Cricetulus griseus: one gene and its partners. The protein of the gene in region 1 purifies or fractionates together with the protein of each later gene. This does not show direct contact. Links are inferred from orthologs where the notes say so. Each region holds a gene or a part of one and is shown in the gene's direction. Other genes may lie near its edges.

Region 1 (8,338 bases):
GTGTTGTGAGTATGGGTTGAGCCCTGAAAAATAACATATAATCGTCTGGAGCCTGGCTGTGAGAGAGGGAGAGGCAGACAGCAGAGAGTGAGACCAGAGGAGAGGTGAGAGAGTTGGGATGGTGAAGCAGAGAAAGAAGGAGCAGCGACGAAGGGGCAGCAGAGGCCAAGAAATGCACAAGGCTGCTATGAGAGAGAGAGAAGTGTGAGAGTTGAAGAAGAGAAAGCATGAGATAAGTGTGAGAAAATGAATGAGCGAGAGTGAGAGGGTAAGGAATGGACGATGGAGGAAAAGTGTGTGTATGTGGTGTGAAAGAATGCTGTGGGAAAGAGGGATTGCTATGTAGAAGAGCTGTGCATGGGAACTGTCTAAAGAGTTGCACTGTGAATGAGCTGTGTAAATGAGATGCATAGCTATGGCAGTGTGGAGATTTGTAACTGTAATTGTTATAAAAATAAGTAACTGGGCAGGAGAGAAATGTCTCTATGTAAAAAGATTGTCAAGAAAGAGAGATTATTGGGCTGGAGAGATGACTCAGCCGTTAAAGGCTAGGTTCACAACCAAAATATATAAGAGATCATTTAAGTTGAAGTAAAGGAGAAGTCACCATCAGGAAACTTGTCCCTTTTTTAAGTTACCAGCAGAAATCATGTTACCCTCAAATAGAAAAGTCTAGCTACCCTCCAATAAGAATCTTTCCCAATATTCTGAGGCTTTCTTTTTATTAGCCTGGTGCTGACTGGGGACTGATCCCCTCCCAAGTCAACTACATTTTTGTATTTGTCCATAAGCAGTGGGGTTTTCCTACTGACATGGTGTCAGAACAGTCCAAGAATGAGTGCTTGTGAGAAAACTCCAAGAAAACAAGCCAAGAGTTTTGTATCCTGTTTCTTCAAAACACAGGTTTGTTCTTGAATGCGCTTGTGTGCCCCTCCAAGGTGTAGAGGATAAAAGTGAGTTTACTTCAGATTACAACTAGCTACTGCTATTTGTTTACATGCCTCTATGGAAAAAAAAACAAAAACGGTTCTGCCATGCACAGCTTATCCTTGTGATGCTACACTTTCCTCATGTGACTCTTCTTAACCTTTGGAGTACCAACTGTCTGATGCCCTGAATAAAGTTAGTTATTATGTGAGACATTAGTCTGCCTTGTTTTGAGGCTCCATTCTCCCAGGTCCCACAGATTTTAGAGTGGTAAACAACAAGTTTTTTCAATTTAGGCGCTCCTGTATAGTTTGTTTTCTCACCCCCACTCACAGTAACTGGGCTATTTTCTGGAAGGATATCAAATAGTGTAATGACAAGCAACTTTGTCTGTCTTGTGCTGGACAATTTATAATGAATGGATGTTTGCTTGGTTCTTGAATCTGGGAAATTTCAACTTAAGGTGCCACCATCTAGTGAGGATCTTCCTCTGAGCCATCTCAAGGGGGAAGGGAGACTGCAAAGAACAAAGTCTTTGATTACAACATGAATCCTGGAATTACTAAGGACAACACTGGGGGTTGATTACATTGGGGTTTTCCACCTGAGTTTTAGAGGAGACAAGATCATAATGTCCACTCACCAGAAACCTTCTATGACAAACACATAGTCCCAGACACTAGAGATTGTGACCCTGTTGGTGTGTGTAAGGACTGGAAATGTACTTCTTACAAACCCCTCAAGTGCTTCTGATGCAATCCAGCCTTTGAGAACTGTGGTTCTAGAAAATGAGCCTGATTAGAGAAATCTAGAAACATTTCTGGTGGAAACAATAACATTTCTTCCACCGAGGGGCAAAGGTCAGTTGATCCAGTTGAGGAATGGCAGCCCCAGGAAGGTGAGCATCTGTAGTTCCTGTGGATAACATGAATCCCGACAGTGCAATAACTAGATCAGTCTTTACGGTTGGATTCGCGGCTGGCAACTATCTAACTATCTAACAAGGCTGGTCTATCTAACTATCTATCTATCTAACAAGGCTGGTCTATGGACTTACTGGGCTAACATGAGGGCATCTAAATGCAGAGGTGGCTAGGAAGCAAAAGGCTCACGTGGACTAGGAAATCCTCAGCAGGACATGCTGTCCAATGGATGTTAGCACATGCTACAAAGATATTCTCATTCCCTTCTTTTGTTTGGCCCTAGACTCTTTCTTCAGGCGGGTGCTGGGAAGCAAACTCCAGGCCTCTGGAAGAGCATCAAATGCTCTTAACTGATGTGCCACCTCTCCAGCCCAACCACTAGATTTTTGAGTGGCTCTCAAGAATCACAAGATAAGTAGATGGTCCTCCCTCCCTGCAACAAGCTGACCTTACTTAAAGGCAGTAAAAGACACCTGCTCTGGGCTCACGAGTCTGCTCACTAGGTAAAGAAAACTGCCTTCAAGACCATGAAAAGGGACCTTTTAAAAAAATATATTTAATATGCACTGGTGTTTTGCCTATATGCACTCTGTGTGAGGATGTCAGATCCCCTGGATCTGGAATCACAACAGACAGTTGTGAGCTGCCATGTGGGTGCTGGGAATTGAACCCCAGGTCTTCTGGAGGGACAATCAGTGCTCTTAACCGCTGAGCCTGAAAAAGGAAAGTTTTTCAGGTATCTCCTTTCTTTAGTTTTGCTGAGTGTGTGTGTGTGTGTGTGTGTGTGTGTGTGTGTGTGTGTGTGTGTGTGTGTGTTTTGCCTGAGTGCACGTACATGTGCACCACATACATGTAGTGGCTGCGGAGACCCCAGGGGGGAGTTGGAGCCCCTGAACTGGAGTTACCAATGAGCCACCAGATGGATGGGTGCCGGGTATCAAACTCAGGTCCTCCCCAAGAGCAGCCAATTCTTTTAACCGCGGACCCATCTCTAGCTTCAGACGTCCCATTTCTTAACAGTTTGCCCTGTGCCCATTCAGGATCGGCTCGGGGTGGGAGCAGTACTCTGCCGGGTGCCCCCTTCCAGCGAGTAAAAGCGTCCCGGCCCGGCCTTTGGGGTGACGATGGCAGCAACGCACACCGCTTGCTTAAAACGGGTCCTTCGAGACCTCCCCCGCGGAGCATGCCGGGCCTGAGGCCGAGTCAACCCGCGCCGCACTCGGCCGTGACGGGAGCGCGTCAGAGTCTGGTCGCAGGGTCCTCACAGATTGCCCCAGTGGAGGCCCGCAGCCGTAGCCGGTAGGGGCGCCTTTCCAAGCCTAACCAAAAAGACGCGCGTCACCCTGGCCCGCGCGCCGGAAGTGACTCGCGCGTTCCCGCCGTGCCTTTCGCCGCCGTCCTGTGGCGGGAACCGAGGCATCTGAGGGACGGTGGCGACTGTAAGTGTCCGTTCTGGGTGTGCTCGGCCTGGGTCCGGGCTGGCGGGATCCGGGCTGAGTCCTCCACCTCCGCGGTGGTCACTGCAATCCGCGGCTCGGGCGGCATTGTATGCAGCCCGCGGCGGGAGGCCGCAATCCCGAAAGGTGACAAGAAACTGGCCTTGGACCAGACAGTGACCGCTTGCAGTGTTTTCTCGAGCCTTAATTAACCTGTGTGCCAGGGTTAGAACTACGTGTTTGCAGCCATTTACTTAATTCATTTACTTTATGGAGTCGTCTTTAGCCCCGTCCTCACATTTCATTTGGTAAAGCAGAATGTCTTGGAGCCAAACACGTCTAAGCACCGACTGTACAGCAGTGGGGAAAGAGAGAGAGAGAGAGAAAACAAAACAAAACACATTGCCATCGATGCTGGGAGTTATTAGAGAAGCCGGTGATCGTGGAGGGCTGGTGGTTTTGAAGCCCCTGAAAATAGCCTGTAAATGTGCTTATGTCTTAGTTAGGTTTTGTATAAATCTTAAACATCCCATTTTTGATTTCTTATTTTGAGTTTATCAGAACAGTAACGGTTGCCTCTATAGCAAGGTCCCACTTTCCCCTCCCCACCTCCAAGTCTCTGAAAACCAGCATTGGCTTTGCCAGTAAAGCCACGCTCAAGGCCCAAGAAGAGATGCTATTGGTCAACAGCTTAGATTTGTCTCAGAATTCCTTCCCTCTTATGACCCTGTGACCCCGAGTGCATTCATAACATCGTAAGTCATGAGATGATGCACTTTAGCAGTTGGCCTCTGCACAAGGTTGAGTGTCTTTTCATTGAGAACTTGCTCACAATTGTTTCTTTTTTCTTTTTCTTTTGTCTTATACCCAGGAGAAGAAACCATGCAGGCATTTCTAAAAGGCACATCTGTCAGCACTAAACCACAATTCACCAAGGACCGGGCAATACCTACAGGAAGCAGTGGAGAAACCAAGAAAGTCAAGCCAGTTCCTTGGGTGGAAAAATAGTAAGAATTATCCATATTTTTGTTGAAATAACTAAGTTTCCTCCCTAATCTTTTATAGTCCACTGGATTTTTGTTTTGTTTTAATGTAAGGGAGATTTGTGGTATTTAGATGCTACTACCTTTGGGGGGTACAGTTTGGGGGGGTCTTAGATACAGAAATGAAAACGTTTCTGTGAGCTGGTTATAAATAGTAGTCCTATTGAAATCTAGATTCTGGCCCTCTTTTATTATTGTATACTGGAAATTGTTGGGGTTTTGTTTGGTTTTAGTATATAAAAGGTTTGAAGTAGCACTAAATTGTCAGCTAAGTGATACTAGACGTAATTGTAACCATTAGCTAGATGTATTCTCTGATTATCGAGGGTTTTCAGGTTATTTACAAGCCAAACAAGGTCCTAATAAATGACTTATGATAAAAGTTACTAGCTGGCAGTACAGGACTGATCCAGACCCCTGAACATGGATGTCAATGAGGAGGCCTCTGCACTCTAGGAGGCCCCTGGTAGTGGATTAGTATTTTTCCCTGGTGTAAGAAGGGACTTTAAAGCCCATCCCACGTGAAGGGATGCTCTCTTGCCCCAGACACATGGGGGAGGGCCCAGGCCCAGCCCAGGATGATGTGGTGGACTTTGCGGAGCCCCCATTGAGGGCCCTACCCTTCCTGGGGAATGGAGGGTGGATGAGATAGGAGGGGTGAGGGGGAGAGGAGGGAGAGGGAGAAGGCATTGACATGTGAAACAAGCTTGTTCCTAATTTGAACTAATTAAAAAAAAAAGAAAAAAATATACAAGGATACACTCAAAAATGGTAAATAAATATGCTTTGCTACTAGAAAAAAATATTGATGTGAAATAAGAGAAAAATCATGAAAATTGTTGATTTCCAATTCTTAAAATAATGAAATAAAAAATTACTGAGTAAATTAAAAAAAAAAAAGTTACTAGCTGGGAGTGGTGGTTTGTATATACCTCTAATTCAAGCACTCAGGAGGCTGAGACAGGCAGAGCTCTGAGGTCAAGGCTACCCTGGTCTACAGAGTGAGTTCCATCGAGGATAGCCAGAACTAAACAGAGAAAACCCCGTCTCAAACCAAACAAAAGGTCTCCTTTGGTGTAGTTAGGTGTTAGAAAAAAATGGTACTGACTATTTAATGCATTAGCTGATGGATGGGTGTGTATATGATTATTTTAAGCAAAGTAGTTGCCAGTTATTAGATTTATTATTTTATAAACTAGACAAGTGTTCCCCCCAACACACACACTTTTTTTTTTTTTTTTTTTTTTTAAGTACAAGGTCTGACTGTATAGCCCTGACCTAGAATACTTATGTAAACCAGGTTGGCTTCAAACTCAGAGATTCTCCTACTTCTGTCTCCCTTGCTAGGATTAAAGAGGTGAGCCTCCACACCCAGCTCACTTTTTTATTATTATTAATTTATTTTTTATATTCCAATCCCAATTCCCCCTCCCTCTTTTCCTCCCACTCCCCCCCCCATCAAGCCCTCCCCTTAGGAAGTCTGCTAAGTCTGTCCCATTATCTAGTTGAGGCAGGACCAAGGCACCTCTCCACCCCCACACCCCTGTGTCAAGGCTGGGCAAGGTGTCTCTCCATATAAAATGCATACCTGGTTCACTTTAAATTTAATTCCTCTGCTTAATATTTTGTGTGTGCAGTACAGGTAGAGGCAAAAATAATTTCATTTCAGTAGTATGTATTTGCTTGAGGTAAATACACATGAAGATTCTGCCTGCTTCCAATTTCATAACTAATATGAGAGCACTATTATTGGTATTTTAGCAGAAGGAACACTTTGGACTTTTCTGTGGCTCCATATATGCTAAATAACCTCCTTTCCCTCCATCTGTTAGTCGTCCAAAATGTGTGGATGAAGTTGCTTTCCAGGAAGAAGTGGTTGCAGTACTTAAAAAGTCTTTAGAAGGAGCTGATGTAAGTAGATGGTGTTTGATGGCACTGGGAAGTTAGGGTTTATTCACCTCTTCCTTTATTTTAACCTCTTATCCATAAATATAACCTTATATGCTATAAGTCTTTGATGCTATTTATAAAACAATAGTCATCTTCTGTGTGACGTTCTTATGTAGTATTCAAGTAAAGACCACTGAATAGCTGGGTGATGGTGACACATGCCTTTAATCACAGCACTCAGAAGGCAGAGGCAGGCAGATCTCTGGGAGTTCGAGACCAGCCTGGTCTACAGAGTGATTTCCAGGAAAGCCAGGGCTACACTGAGAAACTCTACCTAGAAAAACAACAACAAAAAAGATTGCTGAATAAGAGTAGGACCCTTTCTCCGTGAGCTTTTATTTTGGAGAGGAAAGAGACTAAACAAGTAAATCAAGAGGTATAAGCATGTAATAAGTAACAGGTTATAGAAAAGAGTCGATTTTAAAATAGATATAGTTGGCTGGGTGTGGTGGCATGTGCCTTTAAATCCAACACTCCAGAGGCATAGACCAGCCACAGTGAGACCCTGTCTAAAACATGTGTATGTGTGGGTGCCTTTTTTTTTTTTTTTAACAAGATTTACGCTGTCTCACAATGCAGGCAGTGAGGACATGGGACTTGAGTTGGATGCTCACACTGCATTTATGACCAAGAAGCATAGAGATGAATGCTAGTACTTATTCCCTTATGCCCTAGTGCTCCTCAGTGAATCTAGAATATACAATCAGTCCTACGTCCCAAGTCTCTCCCTCATCAACTTGACATTCAAACATATAACTTAAGCTATGATATTCTATCCCTTGTCCCCTTAGGCTGATGACTAGCTTATAATGTAAAATGTATTCAAAATAATTTCAAAAATTCTGTCTTCAGCAGTTCTAAAACTGTTTAAAAGCATAAGAACAGAGACTCTTCTGAAACTCTATCTCTAAGCTGTGAGTCCCTTACAATTCCAGCCAAGTCACATAATTTTAATGAACAATTGTAGAGTGACCATCCCTATCCCAAAAGGGAGGAAGGGGGCATAGCAAGGGAAGAGTAGATCAAAGCATATCCTAAACCCAGCAGGACAGATATCCATTCTGACATGTGAGGTTCTAGAACAAAGGACTTAGGTAGCCACATCCCACCAGCTCTGCTACCTACAGCACACAGTTTCAGTCTTGGACCAGCTCCCCAGCTGACATCCCATCATCATAGGTCTCCTAATTCCAGGGTCTCTAATGCACCTTCTGCCTCATTCTTTTTTTTTTTTTTTTTTAAGATTTTTATTTATTTATCATGTATACAACATTCTGTTTCCATTTATATCTGCACACCAGAAGAGGGCACCAGATTTCATAATGGATGGTTGTGAGCCACCATGTGGTTACTGGGAATTGAACTCAAGAACTCTGGAAGAGCAGTCGGTGCTCTTAACCTCTGAGCCATCTCTCCAGCCCCCAAGGAGGCAACTGCCTCATTCTTACATCATTCATATCTGTAAAACTAGTACCATGTAGGTGATGATGCTAAATTCTGCTTCCAGTTCAGCATGTAGCATGGACCTGTGTGTCTTCTGGGCTGACCCCAAGGAAACACTTCTAGAGGTATTCATCAAGGACATGCCCAGAAGTTTGTGAACCCAAAACCTGTTAATCATCATTTTGATTTTGATTTGAAAAACCTTTAAACTATGTGTTGTTAATGTTAAGGTAGTAGTCTTTTTTTAATAATGTATTTTTATTTTATATACATGGTGTTTTGCCTGTATGTATGTCTATGTGGGGGTGTTGTGACTTGGAGTTAAGAGACAGTTGTGAGCTGCCATCTTGGTACTGGAAATTGAATCTGGGTTCTCTGGAGGAACAGTCAGTGTGCTCTTAATTGGTGAGGGAGCCATCTCTCCAGCCCCATTTTTTTCTTTTTCTTTTTTTCTTTATTGAGGCAGGGTTTTTCAGTGTAGCCCTGACTCTCCTGGAACTCACTCTAAGGACCAAGCTGGCCTTGAACTCAGAGATCCACTGGATTCTGCCTCCTAAGTGCTAGGATTAAAGACCTGCACCACTACACCTGGGTGTAAATGGAAAGTTTCTCTCCT
Region 2 (7,644 bases), on another chromosome or scaffold:
GAACTCAGGTTTTGTGCATTGGTGCACAAGCACTGCACTGCTGAGGTACATCCATCTTTCTATGTTGTTTACAGTAATATATCAAATGGATAGTTTAAATTTAAAATGACACATCTTTTTCTTTTGTTGGTTTTTTGAAACAAGGTTTCTCTGTGTAGCTTTGGGTCCTGGACCTCACTTTGTAGACCAGGTTAGCCTGGAACTCACAGAGATCCACCTGCCTCTGCCTTCCAAGATCTGGGATTAAAGGTGTGTGCCACCACCGACTGGCAATATGACAGATCTCTTAATTTGAACTGATTACAAAGAAGTATTATGTGAACATTTAAGTTTAAAAAATAAGTATGCTATCTGAACTAAAGTAGTAAATGTTTTGAAATCATATGTGGGATAACATGTGCTACTAAAATCATACTGTTCAAAGATGAAGAATAAAAATGTTGATGCTGGGTAATAGTGCCCAAATAGCAATCATAATCTTTTCTTTGTAAAAGCAGAACATTTCTTAAATGAAAGAAAGACCCACAGCCCTGCTAAGTGCAGCAAAGGCGGGAACTCTAAAGGATCTGAGCATCCCTCCAGATCGTTAGCTCATCAGAAGGAAGCCTGTTCTTCTCCCAAGGCCAGCTCCAAGCTGGCACTTATGAAAGCAAAAGAAGAAAGTTCTTACAAAGACACAGAGCAGATGGCCTCAAAAAGAAAAGAAAACACCATTGAACTCAAAGGAGAGAAACAGACTCCTAAAAAAACCAAAAGTTCTCCAGTTAAAAAAGAGGTAGGAAATTTATGAAAAGTATGTATTTTGGGAAAAATGTTGGTTTGAGTTTGATTGTTTTCAACTTCCTACATTTATACACACACACACACACACACACACACACACACACACACACACACACACACACACACACACACATAATTTGGGGAAGAGGGGAGGGAGGGGAAACTTTGGGATGTGAAAAAAAAAAACAACAATAAAATAAATATAATTTGAAGCTGGGGGTATAGCTAAGTGCTTGCCTAAAATATTTGAGCCCCTGTGTTTGATCCCAGAAGACATATCTTTTAAGTCTCTTAGAGAACATTCATTATTAACATAGCGAAATGATCCACTATTCATTGCTGTTGTATATGGGAAACTGTGCTCATATTCATACATCCCATAGCCTTCACCTTTGAGATATTTACTTTTATTATTTAAGTAGTAAAGATGAAGAAACAGGTTGAGTTTAAGTAACTTTCCCAAGATTATCTGTGACTAGTCTTGACTCTCTGAAGACAGAGTAGCAGTGTGAACATTGAGCCTTCAAGCAGTCTGGAGCCAGGTTTAGATCACAGCTCTACTGCTGAACAGATACGTGATCCTGATTTGGTTACATCTCTGTGTGGATGTAGAATAGACATAAGATGATGCCTTGGGCACCAACGAGATGACTCATGGGTAAGGATCCTATACCTGAGTTCTGTTCCTGAGACCTACATGGTAGAAGGAGAGAACTGTCTTCCACAGTTTGTTCTCTGACCTCCACACATGTTGTAGTGCACGCGCGCGCACGCGCAGACACACACACACACACACACACACACACACACACACACACACACACACACACACACGAAGTAAATGTAATAAAAAAATTTTAAAATGTGTTTAATGATTTATACAACCATTTAGAGCAGTGCCTGGGATGTAACAATTGCTATCTGAATTTTAGCTTTTGCTTGAAGTATCAGTTAACTTTTTGCCCTCAGATTTTTCTTCACTAAATACTTATCTGGTGGAAAGGTATTTCTTCAGGCATACTAAGTACATGGGGAAGTTTACAGAGGGTGACTATTTTGGGGGAGGAGGAGATAAAAGTTTTAAAAAAGTGATACTGTTATTTTTATGGTGTTTTCAAAGCTGGACTCAGTAACTCAGAACCCGTACGTAGGAACATTAGAGTTTAGTAAATTCAGTTGATCTTAGTCAAGTAATTCTGACATAGTAAGTGAATATGCTTCAGGTGTTTTATAGCCAGTTGTGGTGCATACCTGTAATCCCAGGACTTGGGAAGCCGAGGAAGGAGGATTGATAGTTTAAGGTCAGCTTCAGCTACGTAGTGAGACCTGTCACAGAACAAACAACAAGGCAGGTAGGCATGCAGAAAGTCCAAAGTTATTTCACATTTTTACAAGATAGAATTACTGCTACAGGGGGCTGAAGAGATGGCTCAGAGATTCAGAGCACTGCTTGCTCTTCCAGAGGTCCTGAGTTCAATTCCCAGCAACCACATGGTGGCTCACAGCCAACTATAATGAGATCTGGTGCCCTCTTCTGGCATGCAGACATACATGTAAGCAGAATACTGTGCACATAATAAAGAAATAAAAAAAAAAAAAAAAAAAAAAAGAATTGCGACTACAAATGAGTGACGCTCCCAGTTGTATATGGTTGTTAAAAATATGGCTTCCCAGGGCACATGGTCTAGGCAGCTGTATTTTGATAAGGACTTTTTTTAGTGGGTGAGAGCCATTGTTAAGTAGGGTTGGGGCCAGATGTGATGGTATATGCCACTAATATCAGCACTCAGGAGGCAAACATAGGTAGATCTCTTGAGTTCAAGGCCAGCCTGGTTTACATAGTAAGTTCCAGGCCAGTCAGGGCTTCACAGTGAGACCCTGTCTCAGCAACAACAGCAAAAGGCTTGGATTCTAAGATCAGCTGCAGTAGTTGGTTTAACTCAAAACCAGCTTAACTATCTTATTGATCATATCACTTATTTATGCAAATGAATATTTTGTCTACTTTAAGAGATTTGGAGTTACATTTAAGTTAAAAGCAATATAAAGTAGGAATTGGAAAAATAATGTAGTAGTTCTAAAAGTTATCTAGGGGACCCTCCCCAATATACACGTGCTAGATACATCCAGTATCTCTGAATCAGAAATACATGCATACATACATACACACACATACATGTATCTCCATTTATATCTGTCTGTCTACCTACCCATCCATCCATCCACATCCATCCATCTAAATTAAATGTAATTCTTTCTAGGTACATCTTAATTTTACATGACTTTTTTTTCTTTCCCTGTGTCCAAAGTCTGTAAGTCCAGAAGATTCTGAAAAGAAGCGTACTAATTATCAAGCTTATCGAAGCTACTTAAATCGTGAAGGTCCCAAAGCTCTGGGCTCCAAAGAAATACCCAAGGTAAGAGTCACGAGGATTGTGCTACTCTGTGCTACTCTGCCTCCTGTTCCAGCAAAGAGCCAGTATTAACAGAAAGGTCTCAGCTACCTTTTTATGAATTAGAAGTTCTTATTTACATTGTGACTCACTGGTGTCCTTTAAATAATAAGTAGCCTGAGAAGGGATGTGCTTTTCCATGCCTTCATGGACTCAGAGCTTAAGGAAAAGCATGGTAAATGCATTAATATCTGATAGTGATTGTAGTACCGTGCTGTGAGAGAAAAGTCCTAGGTGCTCTTAGAGAGTATAGTAGAGAAACATGGATGATCCTGGGTGGATCATTTAGATCAGTGGTTCTCAACCTTCCTAATGCTGTGACCCTTTAATACAGTTACTCTTGTGGTGACCCCAACATAAAACTTTTTGTTGCTACTGTTAGGAATTGTAGAAAAGAGAGCCTTATCATAGCCTCTATATAAAGATGGGGGTGAAAACCAAAGTGGGATTGACAAGTAGCAGCCCAGATGTGAGAAAGAAGTCTGATGTGAGTGGTATAGGAGAAGTGCAGGCAAGAAAGGTGATTGAGTGGTATGATCTGCTATGTTGTGAAAGTTGCAACAATGAGAAGACTCAGACTTGTCCATTGTATTTAGTAACGTGAGTGATGGTCCTTAATGGCCCCAGCAAGAACAGTAGAGACAACTGATGCAGTGGCTTCAAGAGTCTGAGGTGACAAATGGAGACGTGTTTTTGATAAGTTTGGTTGTGAAATAGAAATGAAGAGTGGGATTTAAGGGAAGAGGTGAATGTTTTTAAGGTTGGAGGTGTACTTAAGACGTGTTTCTTGCTGATGGAGTAGACCCTCCCCAAGGGAAGGATAATTAACTGTGCCATGGGGCTTCTGAGAATCTAGGAGATAAATTTGGTAGACATTTAAATTTAATTTTCACTTTGCTACATAAGGCGATTAGAAGTTCCCCTAAGAAGAAAGGGTAGGTAGCTAGAGGGAAGGGAAAGGGGCTGGAAGAAGAGATCAGCCTTGCCTCCTGTATAGGGTGTAACGCTGAGAGACTGAACAAGTAAGTGCCTGTTGGAGGACTTTAGGGCAAATGGTGTCCCTACGGGACTGCTGTGTTTTTGTGACAGCAAGGCTGTGAGGGAATGTTGAAGAGGCTGCCAGGAGTTTCCTGGAGTCAGAGCTGTAGAGGAGTCTAATGGATGAGATGGTAAGGACGCTGGTGAGGCTGAGCTTGGGTCAGTAACATGATATTGTGAGCTCTAGTGGGAGAGCACTAGGGAGACAGTAGTTTGGGGTTTGAAAGGAGGAGCTTCTTGATGTGGAGTTCTCCAGGGTGACTTGGAGTCTGTTGTGAAGATTTAATAGTTCATTTCACTCCTAGAAATGGAAGGACTGAAGAGAAGCTGTTAGCCATTTTCCCCTTTCTTTCTCAGTAAATAATAACTATTCTTTCCTCCTTTGTTCTAAGAAAGGTTCTTTATGTGGCAGAGGAATGATCAGCTTACGCTGGAATATGCTTCCAGTTTTCTTTAACTTTTTTTAAAATCTCAGTGCTATTCACAGAGTAATAAGGAGCAGGGCATATCATGTAGAATGACCATTTTGTTTGTATAATTTAGTTGATGTTATAAAAATTTTGAAAATCTATAACTGTACGGAGTTGTAGTTCAGACTTAAGAAGAGAAGCCCGGTCAGCTCTTAGATGGCCAGTTATCTTTGTTCTATGCTTCTAGCAGTTTCTTAGGTTCACTCTCAGTCGGGTAATGATCAGAGAATGATAAACGCTCCAACTTGATAGGCTTTCCAGAACCCAAGCTGTACTTTAACAACAGTGGGCTTGTCAGTGGGCAGATTACATTTGATTGTTTACTTGAAGCTATGAAAGCAAATTACTGATTTAAATATGAAAAGTGGAGAATTGCATGAATGGGTAATTTTAATTTTGGTAACAGTATGTTTTTCCTCATTCATTTGGTATGTGTTAAATGTTAGCTATGTAGGAATTCATCAGGATTTACTTTGAGGTTCTGCTGTAATTTCTATCTAGGTTTCATGCTGGGGTCTTTATTCATCATTATTTATGATGTCAAGTCAGCTTGTTCAGCTATATTTCTTTGGAAAGCTACCTTGTAATTTCTTCTCTGCTTGAACATTTTGGTTTTTAGGGAGCTGAAAATTGCTTGGAAGGACTGACATTTGTGATCACAGGCGTGCTGGAGTCCATTGAACGGGAAGAAGCCAAGTCTCTAATTGAACGTTATGGGGGCAAAGTAACAGGAAATGTGAGCAAGAAAACCAACTATCTCGTTATGGGCCGGGATAGCGGACAGTCCAAGAGTGACAAGGTGGGTCCTGCTGGCGCTCTTCACAGTAGTACCTGCCTGCCAGTGTGGCTGTTTGTGGTAATGCTCCTGGCCACATTACAGTTAAAAAAGAAGAGAAAGAACGCCTTCACCCTGTAGTTTTGTCTTCTTCACATACCGTATGTGTGTTTTTGGTTGTGACTACAGATTTTGGTTTGTTTAATTGGAAGCATCGTTGCTATTTACTTGATTTTCTTTGTGTATTCTAGTTTTAAAAATATTGTTAACATAGAAACATACAGGTTTTTGTTTTGTTTTGTGTTTTGGTTTTTCGAGACAGGGTTTCTCTGTGTCGCTTTGGAGCCTATCCTGGCACTCGCTCTGGAGACCAGGCTGGCCTCGAACTCACAGAAATCCTCCTGTCTCTGCTTCTTGAGTGCTGGGAATTAAAGGCATGCACTGCCACTGCCTGGCAAAATCTTAAAAATAATTAAAAATAAATTCTAGTGTTAATTTACAGTGTGGTGATTCATCTGCTAGTAAGCCTTAAAGTAAAATTTCCTCTCCAACAACAAGTAGTTTATATGGAGCTCTGATGACTTGTATTTTAATCAACAGGCAACAGCTTTGGGAACAAAAATCCTTGATGAAGATGGTCTGTTGGATCTGATTCGAACTATGCCAGGCAAGAAATCCAAGTATGAAATAGCTGCTGAAGCTGAGGTGTGTATAAGACAAACCTGGTTTATTGAAGTTGGTATTAGAAGCCTCCTGTTTGATAGAGATGCACAATAGACAGTACTTTTGGCTAGAAAATCAAACTCCTGTGTAAAACAAGTAAATTCACCTTCTTTCTTTTTGACCTGGAAGACTGTCTCAGCATGTCTTTGGTGTTTCTTTACTTTTCAGGGGAGGAGAGAGGGAGTGTAACATATAGTGTGTTGTGTGTAACCTACCTTCTCATCCTTATTGTCCATATATATATATACATCTCATAACATACATACATGCATACATACATACACACACACACACACACACACACACACACACACACACATATATATTTCAAGGTTAAAAAATTTACTTAGCCTTGGCTGGTAAGGAACTTGATATGTAGAGCAGACTGGCCTCAGACTCAGAGATCTGAATGCCTCTACCTCTGAAATGCTGGGATTAAAGGCATGTGCCACCACACCTGGCCTCAGTTTTTAAATTGTGTGTGTGTGGGGGGGGGGGTGGGGGGTGGGGGTGTATGCATGCTCTTGAATGTGGTGTCCACAGAGGCTATAAGAGGGCATCTTTCTCTAGAACTAGAGTTCTGGGCAGTTGTAAACCACCTAATATGGGTTCTGGGAGCTGAACTTGGGCTCCTCTGCAAGAGAAGTAAGTGCTCTTAATTGCTGAGTCATGTCTTCAGTCCATATTCTGTATTCTTGTAGACTTTACATGGCCCTGCCTGAAAGTTTTGTTTTCTATTCTTTGTTTTTTAAAGAGGAGTTTATTAGTATCTTTAGTGAAACTTTATTAGGAATTTTTCAATTATGATAGAAACTAGTCTCTGTTGGCTTTCAACAAAGGGGAGAAAAAAAGAAGAAAGAGTTGACTCACATCTAAGCTGGGGGCAGGATGAACTTGGTCCATCCTTCTGAACCCTTCCATTTTCTGTGTTTGCGCCTCCCAGTGCTGTCACATTGATTCCACTATCTATCTGTGTGTCCACATGCAGGACACAGGAGTGCCTGGATGCCAAGATTATTGTCCCTTGTACCACCACCAGTGTGACAAGATGGTCTGCCCAGTTTATTCCAATAGAAAAGTCCCAGGGGATGATGTAACCATGGTCAAGTTGCAATAAGTAGGGAATGAATGTTGCTGCTTCATGGTTAGCTACAGTGTTTGTTCACCACACTGCACCTTTTCTCTGCTCCAGGTTCCTGCACTACATTGACTTGTGCTGTCTCAGCCTCCTCCAGCCTAGGGTAGTTCTGTCTTTCCTTATTTTATCCTGGTTAGTTGTTTGTAGAATGTCTATCATGGCATTGTGTTACATTTCTCACAATTAGATTGTGTTACCCAGTTTGTCATGAATACCACAGGGTTATACTGTGTCCCTTTTAGTGTGTCTCATGTACATGACATT
Region 3 (7,644 bases), on another chromosome or scaffold:
TTTCTCTGGGCTGGAGGAAGAGCATCTTACGGTGTATCAAAAGGCAAAGTCTGTTTTGAGATGAAGGTAAATGGAATTTTGTGGCTTCTCAGGAGCTTTGTTTTTATTGGTACCAGTCACAGGAGCCTATTAAGTTTTCTTGGGAGACTTTGCCATTAAAATGTTTTGATACCGGAATATAGAGAGCTGTCTCACTTACAGAGTTTTCCTTTAAATATACATTAATTTTGACCTTTGTTAATGCTGTGTATTATCAACTTACTAGTTGTTAGTTGGTGATTGTGATTGGTTAAAGATTGAATGCTTTTCTCTTTGTGTTAATAGCAGAGGAAGAAATTGGGTCCATAACCCAATACCATAGGGTTTAAGGGATTTAGTCTTTTATAGCTTAATCATGTAATTTTGATTCTTAGGTAACAGAGAAGATCCCAGTAAGGCATTTGTACACAAAAGATATTGATATACATGAAGTTCGGATTGGCTGGTCACTAACTACAAGTGGAATGTTGCTTGGTAAAGTTTACTTATATTTGAGTCATGTGGAAGCTTAGATGTTTAAGGTCTGATTACATTATTGAAACCTAGAACTAAAATGTTAATAAGCCTTGACCTGATTTTATCTGTTCAGTGTTACTTTTTTATAGTTAGAATGTACAGACAAGGATAGTTTACTTTCCTTGTTCTTCTGTAGTTCTAAAGATGATTAAAATAGACTACTTTTGGCATGTAAATTGTCAATTTAATGTGTATATCCTACCAGACTATAAGTCACTACTATAAGTCACTTAAGCATTTGGGATAAAGGCAGATCTGTCAGAATGTAAGGCAATATGCTCAATAATTTTTTAAAAACATTTTTTAATTCATTTTACATGCCAACCACTGTTATCCTTGTCCACCACCATCCATTCCTTAGGGTGAGGCATTCTAAGCCTGGCATACTGAGTTGAGGCAGGACAAAGTCCCTCCCCCCAATGATACCTTTTTAGTATATGTTTTAAATAGTTTAGTGTGCTTTGGACTGCTTAGACCCTAATTTTAAGTTTTTTTTTTCCTTTTAGGGGAAGAAGAATTTTCTTACGGGTATTCTCTGAAAGGAATAAAAACATGCAACTGCGAGACAGAAGATTATGGGGAGAAGTTTGATGAAAATGATGTGATTACATGTTTTGCTGTGAGTTAAACTTACTGTAAATATCAGTAGCTGTGTGTGTATATTATAGATTAAAGAAATACTATCCGTGTGATTAAACTTACATACTGATTCTGGGTTAAAGACAGGGCCTTAGGAAAAGAGGCTCAGCAGGTAAAGTTCTGCTGTGTGAGCATCAGAGTTTGGATAACCTTGCACCAGTGTAAAATCAGCACAGTAGCGGGCATCTAACTTGGGTTTGGGTGGGAGTGGAGAAGAAACAAATGAAGCCTCCAGCTCTAGGTTTAATGACAGAGGAATACACCCAACATGGAACCCTGCTGTGAAACAAGGCAGTTAAAATTGGGGGGAAAGACATTTCAAGGATCACAAACATTTTTTTTAAAGATTTTATTCATTATATATACAACATCCTGCTTCCATGTGTATCTGCACACCAGAAGAGGGCATCAGATCTCATAATAACGATGGTTGTGAGCCACCATGTGGTTGCCTGGAATTGAACTCAGGACTAACTGTAATGAGACTTGGCACCCTCTTCTGGCATGCAGGCATACATGCTGGCAGAACACTGTACATATAATAAATAAATAAATCTTTTTTTAAAAAATGAATGGCCTGGGAAACACCCTCTAAATCCTGAATCATTACATCTCAGCATTTAGCTTAAACATGTTAACTGCAGGGTGAGTCTACTCCTGTTTCTTGACAAGTTTAGAAAGCTCTCAAAATAGTTTCAAGCTGGCTTAAAATACTTTTGTTGACAGAACTTTGAAACTGATGAAGTTGAACTCTCCTATGCGAAGAATGGACAAGACCTTGGTGTTGCCTTCAAGATCAGTAAGGAAGTTCTTGCTGACCGGCCACTGTTCCCGCACGTGCTCTGCCATAACTGTGCAGTTGAATTTAATTTTGGTCAAAAGGAAAAGCCATATTTTCCAATACCTGAAGACTATACTTTTATCCAAAATGTCCCCTTAGAGGACAGAGTTAGAGGACCAAAGGGACCTGAAGAGAAGAAGGATTGTGAAGTAAGTTGTTTTCAATGTGGTATTTGTAGATTGTTCATAAACTGAGCAAGGCTAAATGATGGGAAAATTATAAATACTTGCTGATGAATAATAGTCTGTCGTGTGTGTGTCCCCCCCGTAGGTTGTAATGATGATTGGCTTGCCAGGAGCTGGCAAAACTACCTGGGTTACTAAGCATGCAGCTGAAAACCCTGGGAAATACAACATTCTTGGAACAAATACCATTATGGACAAAATGATGGTAAGTAAAATTTAAAGTGTCAAGAATATTAGGGGATACCTCTGAGGAAGAACACTTACTTGCCTAGTATACATTACATGTACCCTGACATTAATCTTAGAATTATAGTAAATGGGTTCAGAAGTTATCCTAGGTTAACCTTGGCTTGTGTTTCTCTTATTAATATCTTAGAGAAAAGAATTTTGGCTAAAACAAAGTGGGGTACTTTAGTGATTGCTTTCCCATAAATTAACCTTGAACAGCAATTTAAAGAGCAAGGTCATAAAAGCTATTGTAGTAATGAAAGGATGCAGTTGAATTTGTAAAAATGGTGCCTGGTGTCCTGTATGTGCAGTTCAGAGCTTTTAAAATACACAAAGTAAAAGAAAAATTTTGGTAGGTGGCAGGTTTTAAGAAGCAAATGGCAGATACTGGAAAACTGAACACGCTGTTGCAGAGAGCTCCACAGTGTCTTGGGAAGTTTATTGAGATTGCTGCCCGCAAGAAGCGGAATTTTATTCTGGATCAGGTGAGCAAAAGCTTTGAAATTTTTTTAATATTAATTGATAAGATGTGAGATTAATGTCTTTTAACTCTTCACTTTTCCCTTTAAGACAAATGTGTCTGCTGCGGCCCAAAGGAGAAAAATGTGCCTGTTTGCAGGCTTCCAGCGAAAAGCTGTCGTAGTTTGCCCAAAAGATGAAGACTATAAGCAGAGGACACAGAAGAAAGCAGAAGTAGAGGGGAAAGACCTACCAGAGCATGCTGTCCTTAAAATGAAAGGCATGGAGTTTTCCTGTTATTACTTACTGTCTTAAGTCTGTTTCTGTGAGTTATGCCTGAAAAGTGTTTTTTAAAACTGCCAGCACTGTTAGGAATTATATTAATTTGGCAAATAGAAATGTGTTTATAAAAGATGTCTCTAAGCTATCCATGAACAAATATAGTTTTATAATTTTAATCTGACTTTATTCCCTATAGGAAATTTTACCCTGCCAGAGGTGGCTGAGTGCTTTGATGAAATAACCTATGTTGAACTTCAGAAGGAAGAAGCCCAAAAGCTTTTGGAGCAATACAAGGAAGAAAGCAAAAAGGCACTCCCACCAGAAAAGAAGCAAAATACTGGCTCAAAGAAGAGCAATAAAAATAAGAGTGGCAAGAACCAGTTCAACAGAGGTGGTGGCCATAGAGGACGTGGAGGATTCAATATGCGAGGTGGCAATTTCAGAGGTGGAGGCAAGTTAATTTTAATATTCTATTCGATTGAAATTTTAAAGTGAGCAGAGGATCTTTTAGTTTGTCAAGTAGCTAAAGAAGTTAATTTCTTAGATATTTTATGCTGCCATGTCTAATTAGTATGTAATTTACAATTCATACTATATATTCAGTAGTGAAGTATGACATTATTTGTTTTTCACTAATGCTGTAACTGGACTGAACTCTAGGTTATGGCAGGACTAAATAAACTCTTCTTGTGTTTAGCTCCTGGTAATCGTGGCGGATATAATAGGAGAGGCAATATGCCACAGAGAGGTGGCGGTGGTGGAAGTGGTGGAATTGGCTACCCATACCCCCGGGGCCCTGTTTTTCCTGGCCGAGGTGGTTACTCGAACAGAGGAAATTACAACAGAGGTGGAATGCCCAACAGAGGGAACTACAACCAGGTAAGAGGAGCTAGCATCTATAATTTGACCTAGAAAGTTGTAGGTGGCATTGACATAGTTGTGAAGCAGTTTAGTTTAATGATCTTTGCTTTTCAGATGCACTAACAGTAACAACAATGACCAGGGGTATACAGGGTTTCAGCATGCCCCTTTAAAATGTCCAAGCATTACTTCAGACCTATTTACAGATATTTTTTTTTCCCTTTCATAGAACTTCAGAGGACGAGGAAACAATCGTGGCTACAAAAATCAATCTCAGGGCTACAACCAGTGGCAGCAGGGTGTAAGTAGTTTTCTTAAGTAATTACATAAATTGTAGTTTTTATGTTTACAAGAATCAGATCGGAAGTTCTTATCTAGGGATTGAAGTGTTTGATACAATTATAGTCTTATTACTGTGTTATAAATTGTAACCATGGATAGGCTGGAGTTTTAACAGATTTTTAGATAAAGTAATATTTACTACATACGGTGTTTTTATTATGGTTCTTTTTAATAGTTTTAATTACGTAAACTAACCCAAGTCTTGTGTTTCTTTTTGTAATGTGTATTGGTAAATAATATGGGTAATTGGTAAATTAAAACTAAGTCTCTGGTCTGATGTAGAAATTAAGTGTGACAAGTATAAATTTGTTTCCAGCAATTACTCTGAATTAGATCATTGTCATTTCCTAAAAACAATTTGAGTGGCTTATTGATGTTTTTTTTTCTTTAAAAACAAAATTTTCTCTTACAGCAATTCTGGGGTCAGAAGCCATGGAGTCAGCATTATCACCAAGGATATTATTGAATACCCAAATAAAACGAACTGATACATATTTCTCCAAAACCTTCACAAGAAGTCGACTGTTTTCTTTAGTAGGCTAACTTTTTAAACATTCCACAAGAGGAAGTGCCTGCGGGTTCCTTTTTTAGAAGCTTTGTGGGTTGATTTTTTTTTCTTTTCTTTTTTGTACATTTTTAATTGCAGTTTTAAAGTGAATCGTAAGAGAACCTCAGCATTGTGCACGATAAGAGAATGTGTCAGTATTTCAGGGTTCTACATTTTATCTGTAAAATGTGACTTTTTTTTATCACAACAAAAGTAAAATGTTGCTTTGTACCTGGTGTCTTTTATTAAGCATTTACTCCCCCATTTCTCACAGAGAATAACAGTCGGGAGTCATTGTCACAATAAAATAGCAATGTTAGCAACCAGATTCATGGAAGGACTAAGTGGTCCTCATGAATTGCATAAGATTCTGTATTGCTCATAATACACTCCATCCTCTCTGTAAACTGGTGGGTAATAGTGGAAAGGAAATTTCTGACAAACCGGGAAAGCTATTCTTTTTTCTGTTTAACAATGGAATTTGAACAATTGGGAATGAAGATAAAATTTAGAACCAAGATTGAGAAGATGGAGTGTATGTAGAAGGGCTGTTAAAAATGTAAACTTGGTTGCATTATATGTGGAGGCTCAAACTTGTGAAGGTTAAATACCATAAATTTTTCCATTTGTTCTGCATTTTGATTCTGAAAAGAAAGCTGGCTTTGCCCATTTCTTATTAAAAAAACTTGTTGTAAATCCAGTTGTCTAATGGGATCTATATGAAGTTAGCTATGTCTGTATGCCCTTCTCCCACAAAATACTGTATAACTAGTGTGCTTGTAGTAGTTAACTCCACCATCTTTGTAAGCTAATGAAATTGTGAGTCACCCATTTATATCTTTTAATCATGTCAGTTCTTGAATGGGTATCTCCTTAGCCTGCTGATTTCTTTTTCTTTCTAAAGAAAGTGGGTGGAGAAATTAATTTAGACGTTTGTTTGCAATAAAAAGAATTCATTTTACTCTTGTTTGGGATTCTCGCCATCAAGGTTCAAAATCCCTTTATACTACAACTCCCAAGAGGAGAAATTATAAGTGTGTGCTTTCTGGACAGCTTATTCTTTTACTCTGTACTTGGAACATTTAGGTTTTAAAAACTTAAATGTATATTGACAATTGATTTATATAATATAAAGCTGAATTCTTCCCTTCCCCTCCCCCCCCAGGTGGCTTTTAACATTTATGAGGGGCAAAGGTACTGGCTGGGAGAAGTTAATGCTCAGTTGATCATGCTTATGAAATGTGAATGGCTGTCCTCACCTGATTATATACATAACTATTACATGAACCTTTGGGAACAGATGCTTTTAGAAGCCATCATGCAAGCCAGTCATTGATTTCACTACTACACAATGCTGCTAACTTAACTAGCTATGTGATAACATTAGATCCCCTAATTGTAATTTTATTGGGTTTGCACAGAACACTTAAATCTAAAGGATCCTCACTGTGTGAAGTGAGAATCAGGAGTCAAAGTGTAGAACTAAAATTAGAATTTAGTCTAGTGTGCCAGTTTTTTTTAGCCTGCTTCTGGTAAGTTTAGGTTTTCTATATTGCTGTTTCTGTAGGATTTTGTTGAGGTATTTTAAATCAGATGTTTTTTAAATGTGAGTTTATTGTAGTATATTCATGGAAATTGTTACAAGGCAGCCAGTTTTAGATTAAATAGGTTGAAATAGAAATAACACTAAAAGGTAGTGTCTTTGGCATTTGGCTTAAAAATAAACTTACTGTTAGTAACTGCTGCATATACATTATTAGGATTATATATTCCTAACCTGGGGGACAATTCAACCTTATAATTCTGATTAATCAATGTTGTTTATCCTGATATTTTAGTTTGTGCCTTTCAAAGACCTAGCAGTAGAGACTTAGGGGGGAAAAAAAGGAGAAAGGGGATCAGCTAACAAAGTAGGACTTGATAAAGTAAAATGCCTTCTGGCAGTAAACACTACACTTAGCAGTTACATCTATGCTTGCAAATTCTCTTTAGTGATTTAGTAAGAGTGATTGCATACAAAGGGGAGGAAAATGACTTATTTTAAAAATATTGATGAAATCAGACCTGAAGGAAAGAATTGACTTAAAAACATGCCCAGTGATAAGCAAAATACTGGTTTGAAATAATGTGTCAACCAGAAAAACAAAAAACAGGATTGCTTTTGGTTCAAGATGTGCTTTCAGTCAAGCTGGGCATGGCAGCAAAGGCCTGTAATCTACAGAGGGGCAGAAAAATTACCACAAGCCTTGGCTACATGTTTTATAGTAGGGCCCTTTAAAGGTCTTACCTTAGTGAAATCCATTGCCTGCTGAGCAAAAGCTGGGGAACAGGGCCACATCGTTTGGTCAACACTAGTACTTAGGAAAATATTGTAGATTAATAACAATTGTAGAAGTATACAAGATAGAACAAATTGGTATAGTCTCAAGTTTCTGATAGGATCCAAGTAGATATTGAAGACCTTGGCTGTGACTAAGAAGGCTTATGGTTAACTTATAAGCCATTTTCTAGATTCTAGAAGACAAAACCAGTATTTTTAACTTTGAGGTTACATTTTGGCTTGAATTTAAGATTCCCTCTTAATGACTTTTCTATAAGCTTGTTCATTAATTCAAGTCTAATAGACTAGACTGTATAAAAAAGACTGATAGCTTTTTAGGTAGTGTGCAGTTGTTAAAGCCTAGTTGCATGTGCATCAGTGTGAA
Region 4 (8,254 bases), on another chromosome or scaffold:
CGCCACCACCCAACTGGAACTTTTATTTAATTTTTTTATGTTTATTTTTTTATTTTATTTTATTTATTTATTTACTTACTTTATTTTAAGACAGGGTCTCTCTGTGGCTTTGGAGGCTGCCCTGGAACTAGCTCTTGTAGACCAGGCTGGTCTCAAACTCACAGAGATTTGCCTGCCTCTGCCTCCTGAGTGCTGGGACTAAAGGCATGTACCACCACTTCCCGGCTTATGTTTATTTTTTAAAACAATCTTTTTTATTTTTACTTACCAATCCCAGTTCCCCCTATTATCTTTAAAGTTATTTATTTATTTATTATTTGATGGGGGGTAAGTGTGTCTTTGTGTGTACTCTGGGAGGTAGAAGAGAGTCTGTCACTTTGTTTACTCCTTTGCGGAAGTCTCTCCCTGAACATGCACTCATGGCTTCTCAGTTAGGCTGGAGCCCAGGCCTGGTGATCCTCCTGTCTCTGCTGGTCTCAGAGCTAGGGTTACAGCCAGACACAGATGCCCAGTTTGTTACATGGCTGCTGGCTGGAAACTGCAGTTGTCATGATTGTACATCAAGCACTCTTAACACTGTTCCCTTTCTCCAAAACTATGCTTAACATTTTCCTTTTATTTTTAAGTTTATTTATTTTTAAATTATGTGAATAGCTGTGTGTCTCTGGGTATGTGGATGTGAGTGAGTGGCTATGAAATTCAGAAGAGGGCATCTGATCCCCTGGAGCTGGAGTTACAGGTTGTCAAGAGCTGCCTGAGTTAGGGGCTGGTAACCAAGCTTATGTCCTCTGCAGGAGCAGTATGCATTCCTTGTTTTTTTTTTTTAAAGATTTATTTATTATTTATAGTCTTCTGTCTGCAGATATGCCTGTGGGTCAGAAGAGGGCACCAGATCTCATTACAGATGGTTGTGAGCCATCATGTGGTTCCTGGGAATTGAACTCAAGACCTCTGGAAGAGCAGGGAGTGCTCTTAACCTCTGAGCCATCCCTCCCTAAGGCTGTCTTCTTATGTTTGTTAGTTTGCTTGTTTTCCAAGACAAGGTTTCTCTGTGTAACAGTTATGGCTGTCCTGGAACTTTCACTGTAGACCAGGTTGGCCTTGAACTCAAAGAGATCTGCCTGACTCTGCCTCACAAGTGCAGGGATTAAAGGTGTGCGCCACTACTGTGCAGCCCAGTGTACACTCTCAACCCCTGAGCTACCTTTCCAGTACCATTTTGATTTTGCTTTTTTAAAAAAGATTATTTATTTTTTATGAACAAATGTTTTGCCTGCATCTATGTCTCTTTGCTATTTGCTTGGTGCCACAGAGATCAGAAAAAGGGTGATGGATCTTCTAGAACTGGAGTTATAGACTGCTGTGAGCTGCCATGTAGGTGCTAGTAATTGAACTTGGGTCATCTGTAAAAGGAGCCGGTGCCCTTAACTGCTGGGTCACCTCTTTAACCCCCTGCTCCATGCTTGGCTTTTTATTGATTTAGAGTTGCATTTTGGCAATGCTCAGGATTGATACCACCACCTTGTGAACGGGAGGTGTTTCTCCAATACTCTACCTTCCTAGCCCTCATTTCTTTTTATTGCTGAGAAGGATTCCATTGTATGGTTATGACATGGTTATGCCACAGTGTGTTTACTAACCTATCTGATGAAAGCATGAAAGGAGAAGTTCCATTGTGGGCGATGCTATAGAGCAGTTAAATCTTTAACCAAGGTAGCAGGGTTTTATACATACTCTTTGTAATGGTTAAATCATGGGCTGGGTATGTAGCTCAGTAACAAAGCACATGCTTTTTGTATCTGAGGGCTAGAGAGAGAACTCAGTTCTTCTTGCTCTTGCAGAGGATCTGGGTTTGGTTTCCAGCACCCACATGGTGTCTCAGGGGATCCAATGTCCTCTTCTGGTCTCCACAGGTACCAGGCATACACATAGTACATATACATACATGTAGGCAAAACACTCATACACATAAAATTAAAATAAATTTTTTTTGAGACAGGGTTTCTCTGTGTAGCCCTGGTTGTCCTAGAACTAAATATGTAGACCAAGATGGCCTCGAACTCAGAGATCTGCCTGTCTCTGCCTCCCGAGTGCTGGGATTAAAAGTGTATATTCACCACCACCACCTGGCTTTTCTATCTCTTTTAAACTTCTATTATTTATTTATTTGACAGAATCTCTTGGTTGAACTAAAACTCTATGTAGACCACCACCCGGCTTTTCTACGTCGTCTTAACTCCTTTCTATTTATTTATTCACTCACTCATTTATTTCTCTCTTTTTTGCTCTATCTATCTATCTATCTATCTATCTATCTATCTATCTATCTATCTATCTATCTATCTATCTATCTATCTATCTATGTATTATCAGACAGATTCTCTTGGCTGAACTGGAACTCTATGTAGACCAGGCTGTGCTGGAATTAAAGCCATTAAAGTCGCACTTCCTGGCTTTAAAATATAATTTTAAGAATGGCTACAGTCGCTGGGCAGTGGAGGCACCTTTAATCCCAACACTCAGGAGGCAGAGACAGGCGTATCTCTGTGAGTTCGAGGCCAGGATGGTCTACAAACGGAGTTCTGGAACATTCAGGACTCAAAAAAACAAACAAACGAACGAACGAACAAAAAAAAAATGCCTTATGTCTAAGTCTTAGTTCGGCCACCAAGTGACTAGGTAGCCTTAGAGAAATCACGTCCTGAATGGTCAAACTCGCCTGTAACACCGAGTCACGAACGTCTGAAGTCCCACTAGGATTCCAAATAGACCTGGTTCCGTCGCTTGCTGATTCGCCAAACGAAATAGTTTGGTCTTAGTGGCTCACCGTAGGCCCAGTCTCCAGAAGCGGTCATAGGCTCCGCCCCCTGCGCTCCGGACGGCGCGAAAACCCAATTGACAAGAAGTCCCAGGAAGCCCAAGGCCTGATCGGCGTTCCGTGTGCAGCGCCCACTGCGGCCCGGGGCTCGAACGCTGAGCCTGGAGCGCCTGCCTCGGGGTCACCGTGCACTGTCCGGCCGCCTCCGCGGGGCCTGCGCCCGCGCTTTCTCGACGAAGCCTGGCTGGACGGCCCTGGGCCCAGCCTCGCACTCGCGTCCGCCGGCTGGGCTCTGGGGGACCCGTGACGGACCCCGCGGCCCCGCAGCTCGCTCCCATTGCACCGGCCGCCTCCATGGCCTCCAGCCAGGCTGGGCCGGACCGCCTGAGGTCCTAGGATCCGTGGCTCTGGGAGGCAGGGATCATGGTGGGGGTCCTGACCATGGCGGCGGCTGCAGCTCCCCGTCCAGTCAAGGACTACGAGATTGAGGTGAGCTCGAGGATCTGTCAAGTTCTTTCCTGCCTGTGTTGGCGAATTGTGGCGTGGGGGTGGTGGGAGTCCTGCTTGCTTCTGAGACGGGGAAGGAGTGATGTGATGATCCGCAGCTATAATTTTGTGTGGGATGGTTGCCTCGGTGTATCGTGGTTAAGTCCTCAGTGGAATTCTCAGAAATTTTCGGGCTCGCTGTAAGCTCAAGATTTGAAAACCACTGTTCCCGGGTCCTGAAACATTGGTGGAATGACATGTCACCGAGGATCTCAGGCTCCAATTCTTTGTTCGTGATGTGGAATCATAGAACAGCGAAAAAGCTTTAAGTGCGTCTAGTCCGTACACACAAACATCTGTCCTAGGAATTCCATATGGAATGTCACTTAAGAATTAAGTGAGGTATTTAAGTCGGTTTCTCGAGGCTGCAGAGCTTAATGTAATGTAGTTAAGAGTCTCTGTGACATGTTAGGTGTTCTGTATTTACCGCGTTTCAAGAGTACACTAAGCTGAAGACAGTGCTTAATCTGGGAAGCCCTGGTTTACAGAAAGAAATAAAAATACACTAAGCAACCATAATGATATTCTATGCGATTAAGTAGTGGCTAGGATCTTAAAGTACATGGCTGATATGTATATGTAGATAGAAAAATACCCAGGCTGGATTCGGACCTACTGATCCTCCTGTCACCACTTTCCAAATGTTGGGATTACAGGCTTGTGCCTCTTCATAGCTGCTATGTTTTTTTTAATATACCATGTCTCAGACTAGCATTTTAGTTAATGTGTTGTGGTGCCTTTGAAGTGAGCTAAGATGTGTGCTCACTTCAGTCCTAACTCTTTGTTTTGTTTTTGTTTTTCGAGACAGGGTTTCTCTCTGTAGTCTTGTCTGTCCTGGAATTCATTCTATAGATCAGGCTGGCCTAGAATTCAAAGAGATCCTCCTATCGCTGCCACCTGAGTGCTGGGGTGGAAGGCTTTCAATACATTTTCAAACTTGTTTTTATTTCTTGTTACGTTTATAAATTTACAGTTGTGTATTGGTAGTATGGAAATCAGAGGACAACTTGTAGGAGGAGTCAGTTCTCTTCGTCTACCCTGTGGTTCCCAAGGCCTAAACTCAGATTGCCAATTTGGCAGCAAGTGCTTTTATCTACTGGGCCATCTCACTGGCCCTGTTTTAGTTTTTAGACAGGATCCCATGTAGCCCAGGCTTGTGCAAGCACAGCCAGCTTACATTTCTTTGTAGCATATTTAGTAGTTTCTAATTATAATCCTAAGAACTTGGTTTCAAAAATATTTCTTTTTCACATATTTTTTAAATGATTTATTTATCTTCATTTTATTTACATTGGTTGCCCGTATGTATGCCTGTGTGAGGGTGTCAAATCCCCTGGTGCTGGAGTTACAGACAACTGTGAGCTGCCATGTGGGTGCTGGGAGTTGAACCCTGGTTCTCTGGAAGAACAGATAGTGCTCGTATCTGCTGAACCATTTCTCCAGCCCCATCACATGAATGTTTTTAATTTCTATGGCTATTTAGTCATTGTTGTGCCGTAATTATGGCACAAGCAATTATTGATGACTTTCTCCATTCCAGATCCTGTGTTTTCAGGATCAGTCAGCCATGCTTCTTCCCAGGGGAAGTTGCCAGTTTGTGTTGCTTGCTCCATAGTCACAGTTCTGTTGGGATGATATGACAGACTTTGGAGATCCCCCATGGAGGTCCTTACCCTCCCTGGGGAGCAGAGGGGGGATGGAATGGGGGCTTGGGGGTTGTTGTGGGGAGGGGGAGAAGGGGAGGGAGAGGGAGCTGGGATTGACATGTGAAGCAAGCTTGTTACTAATTTAAAAAATTTTAAAACAAAAAAAAAAAGAAAAAATAGATTTCCATACTAGTAGATATCAGGGCAGGTACTTTAACTTAATTCTGACTTGAATGTCTGTTGTGTGATGTCTCTGACACCATCTCAAAGCTTTATAGACCATAATAATAGATTCTTTTTTTAATTCACTTATTTCAACATACATAGTTTTGCTTGTATTTTACCTCATTTATCTAAATGGTCAGAATTTGTCCCACTATCATCTCTTAGTCTTTTATCTGTTAATTTGGATGTTAGTTTTACCACTTAAATTCTTTTTAAAAATTATTTTTGCTACATTTGCTTATTTATTGTAAGTGCAGGGGTCAGCATATGTGTGGAGGGCAACTTGTGGGAAGAGGTGCTCCCTTTTTACCATGATCCTGGCAAATCAAACTAGGTTACTGGGCTGGACAGCAAGTACCTTTGCTTTCTGGGCCGTGTCGGAGATCCCCTGTATGAATTCTTACATAACCTTGTCTGGTTTTGCTTTTCAGACACACTCCATTGAGCTTCTTGCCTACTTGTGCAGCATCAGTACTATGCTTTTAACCACAATAGCCCTGTTAATTCATTTGAATTTTCTAAAAATAAAAATTTCATCCTTATTACTTGTCTTTAAAAATAAAGTTTTTGTTATTTTGGCAGATGTACTTTTTCAAATGAGCTGAGAAATTAGATTGGTAGTAGGATGGAAATATAGCTCAAGGGTGAGTTTATTTAGTATTGGAAGGCTTGGGTTCAATGAAGCAAAAGACAGAAAAAAGTTAGGGCTAGAGCAGTAGCTTAGTTGGTAGAGTGCTTGTACCAGGAGGGAGTGGGGTGTGTATAAAAACTAATGGAGTTGTTTGTTTGTTTGTTTATTAGACAGTCTCATTATATAGACTAGACAGACCGGCCTTAAACTCAGAGATGTCTGTCTGTCCCTGTCTCCTGAATGCTGGGATTAAAGGCATGTGTGACTATGCATAACCAATAATTATTTTGTGACCAATATAGTAGTATGCATTTTTAGTTATGCAAGTTACTGATGCATTTATTAACTCATTTTGATCATTTTGGTTTTATATACATATGGCTTAGTCACTGTTTTATTGCTGTGAAGAGACACCATGACCAAAGCAAGTTATTTTTTAACTTAAAAAAAATTTAGTTTTCATTTTACATACTAACCCCATTTTCCCCTTCCTCCTTTCCCCCCCACCAGGCAACCCCCCCCCCAGACAGGGTTTCTCTGTATAGCTTTGGAGGCTTCCTGGCACTCTCTCTGGAGACCAGGCTGGCCTCGAACTCACAGAGATCCTCCTGCCTGTGCCTCCCGAGTGCTGGGATTAAACGCCAAGTCAACTTTTAAAAAGGAAACATTTCATTGGGGCTTGCTTACAGTTTCAGAGGTTTAGTCCATTGTCATGGTAGGAGCATGGCAATACTCATGATGCTTGGAGCTGTAGCTGAGACTACATCCTGACCAGAGAGAAAGAGAGAGACTGGGCCTGGCATGGGCTTTTGAAACTTCAAGGCTACCCACCCCCACTGCCAGTGACACACTTTCTCCAGCAAGGCCACACCTCCTAATTCTTCTCAAATAGTGCCACTTTCTGATTACTAAGAATTCAAATGTATGAGCTTATAGGGCCATTCTTATTCAAACCACCACAACATATTTGCTTAATTTAGTGAATTTCTAGGTCAGGTTTAAGGGTCTTTGTCAGTAGCTTATATTTATACTTGTTTCTTTGAGTTCTCATACTGTAGCCCATGCTGACCTGGAACTCTGTGCAAGCTAGGAGGGCTTCCAGTTCACTGTAGCCCTCCTGCTTCAGCTTCCAAGGTACTGGGACTATAGTATGAGTCACCATGCCCTGCTTTTGTTTATACTTAAAACATACAATACACATAGAAACTAAATGAGAAATAATATCCTTCTAAAGGTAAGCTTAGATATTGTAATCTAGTAAATTCAGAACAGTAAGATACTTCCTTACTCTGGTTGATCCGTATCATTCACAGATAGTCAAGAAGACAAATGTAGATCACAGAAAATCAGACCAGTTAATTTGTTCTGTGCTACCCTACCTGTTTCACAGTTCAAATCCCCTGTGCTCTAAGGTAAACCCATGAAACCTTTAGAAGAAACATATACAGCCAAAAATGGGATCACAGTTGTTAGTGAGCCAGTAGCTGGATGAATCCTAGTCATACTCAAGATGCATCAAAAGTCTATTTGCTCTAGGGATTTAGAGAATAGAGCTAAATCTATGTGCTGATCCATGTTCAAGTAGAGTCTACTTCTAGAAGTTGGTTACTTTTTCTAGTTATGTCATTGATTTTTTTCTTTCAAACAGTGTCTCATGTAGCCTTGACTATCTTCAAACTCACTAAATTCACCTTGAGCTTCTGATGCTCCTGCCTCTATCTCCTCAGTGATGTGGTTTCAAGCACGTGCCATCATGCTTGGTTTTACGTAGTGGTGGGAATCAAATCCAGGATTGTGCGTACCTAGGCAGTTATTCTCAGCCTTAGTTACAACAATGAAAATTATGTTTTTCTTGATAGTATCACCTGGTTCATGATTGTCCACCTTGAGTCTTATGCTCTTTTCCTAGCAGGCAGTGCCTTGCCCAGTCTTCGTCAGCCATACCTGGGCTCATTGTGATTTCTGTTTAGCCTGGATGCAAGTATCCTTGCTGACTGAGAATGTCTAACACTAAGGAATGTCCTTAGTGTTATAATCTCCTTGATTCTGTGAGGGTAATGGCTACTGCAGGAGGTAGGCAGTGACTTGTAGTAGCAAATTAAAACAGTAGACTTGTGACAAGTGTTCTTTTGTTGGTTCTGTGCTTCTTAAATAAATAACTATTTCTTACAAATACTTAGAATGATGTGTTTATTTTTAACCAAAAAAGTAAAGCAGAAAGGATTGTTTGTAACCCTACCCTGTGTTAGGTTCCACATATTTTAATGTATTCAGTATAGAGTCTGTGAGGTAGATAGTGCTATTCTAAGGTTATAGAGGGTAGGTAGGGCATGGTGATTCACACCATTAGTCTCAGCATTTGGGAGGTAGAGACAGGCAGATCTCTTA

The links.
Region 2: the proteins of Rfc4 (region 1) and Rfc1 fractionate together in Homo sapiens (co-fractionation; 7 studies listed by BioGRID and IntAct, counting the BioPlex papers as one, with this or other methods). This does not show direct contact. The link is inferred for Cricetulus griseus from reciprocal best matches to the Homo sapiens genes RFC4 and RFC1.
Region 3: the proteins of Rfc4 (region 1) and Hnrnpu fractionate together in Homo sapiens (co-fractionation; 3 studies listed by BioGRID and IntAct, with this or other methods). This does not show direct contact. The link is inferred for Cricetulus griseus from reciprocal best matches to the Homo sapiens genes RFC4 and HNRNPU.
Region 4: the proteins of Rfc4 (region 1) and Atad5 purify together in Homo sapiens (affinity purification with mass spectrometry; 5 studies listed by BioGRID and IntAct, counting the BioPlex papers as one, with this or other methods). This does not show direct contact. The link is inferred for Cricetulus griseus from reciprocal best matches to the Homo sapiens genes RFC4 and ATAD5.

The regions. Positions count from the first base shown.
Region 1 is NC_048597.1:65,803,250-65,811,587, forward strand, and holds the start of Rfc4 (replication factor C subunit 4), read left to right. Parts: upstream 1-3,137; 5' UTR 3,138-3,289; intron 3,290-3,304; exon of another isoform or gene 3,305-3,433; intron 3,434-4,157; 5' UTR 4,158-4,168; coding exon 4,169-4,293; intron 4,294-6,161; coding exon 6,162-6,240; intron 6,241-8,338. UniProt on the Homo sapiens protein: Subunit of the replication factor C (RFC) complex which acts during elongation of primed DNA templates by DNA polymerases delta and epsilon, and is necessary for ATP-dependent loading of proliferating cell nuclear antigen (PCNA) onto primed DNA.
Region 2 is NW_023276807.1:132,327,668-132,335,311, reverse strand, and holds part of Rfc1 (replication factor C subunit 1), read left to right. Parts: intron 1-494; coding exon 495-775; intron 776-3,092; coding exon 3,093-3,200; intron 3,201-5,363; coding exon 5,364-5,543; intron 5,544-6,119; coding exon 6,120-6,224; intron 6,225-7,644. UniProt on the Homo sapiens protein: Subunit of the replication factor C (RFC) complex which acts during elongation of primed DNA templates by DNA polymerases delta and epsilon, and is necessary for ATP-dependent loading of proliferating cell nuclear antigen (PCNA) onto primed DNA.
Region 3 is NC_048598.1:15,823,030-15,830,673, forward strand, and holds the end of Hnrnpu (heterogeneous nuclear ribonucleoprotein U), read left to right. Parts: coding exon 1-66; intron 67-413; coding exon 414-513; intron 514-1,061; coding exon 1,062-1,174; intron 1,175-1,920; coding exon 1,921-2,184; intron 2,185-2,305; coding exon 2,306-2,425; intron 2,426-2,804; coding exon 2,805-2,933; intron 2,934-3,018; coding exon 3,019-3,187; intron 3,188-3,385; coding exon 3,386-3,640; intron 3,641-3,886; coding exon 3,887-4,068; intron 4,069-4,279; coding exon 4,280-4,351; intron 4,352-4,804; coding exon 4,805-4,858; 3' UTR 4,859-5,900; downstream 5,901-7,644. UniProt on the Homo sapiens protein: DNA- and RNA-binding protein involved in several cellular processes such as nuclear chromatin organization, telomere-length regulation, transcription, mRNA alternative splicing and stability, Xist-mediated transcriptional silencing and mitotic cell progression.
Region 4 is NC_048600.1:93,535,152-93,543,405, forward strand, and holds the start of Atad5 (ATPase family AAA domain-containing protein 5), read left to right. Parts: upstream 1-2,870; 5' UTR 2,871-3,241; coding exon 3,242-3,307; intron 3,308-8,254. UniProt on the Homo sapiens protein: Has an important role in DNA replication and in maintaining genome integrity during replication stress.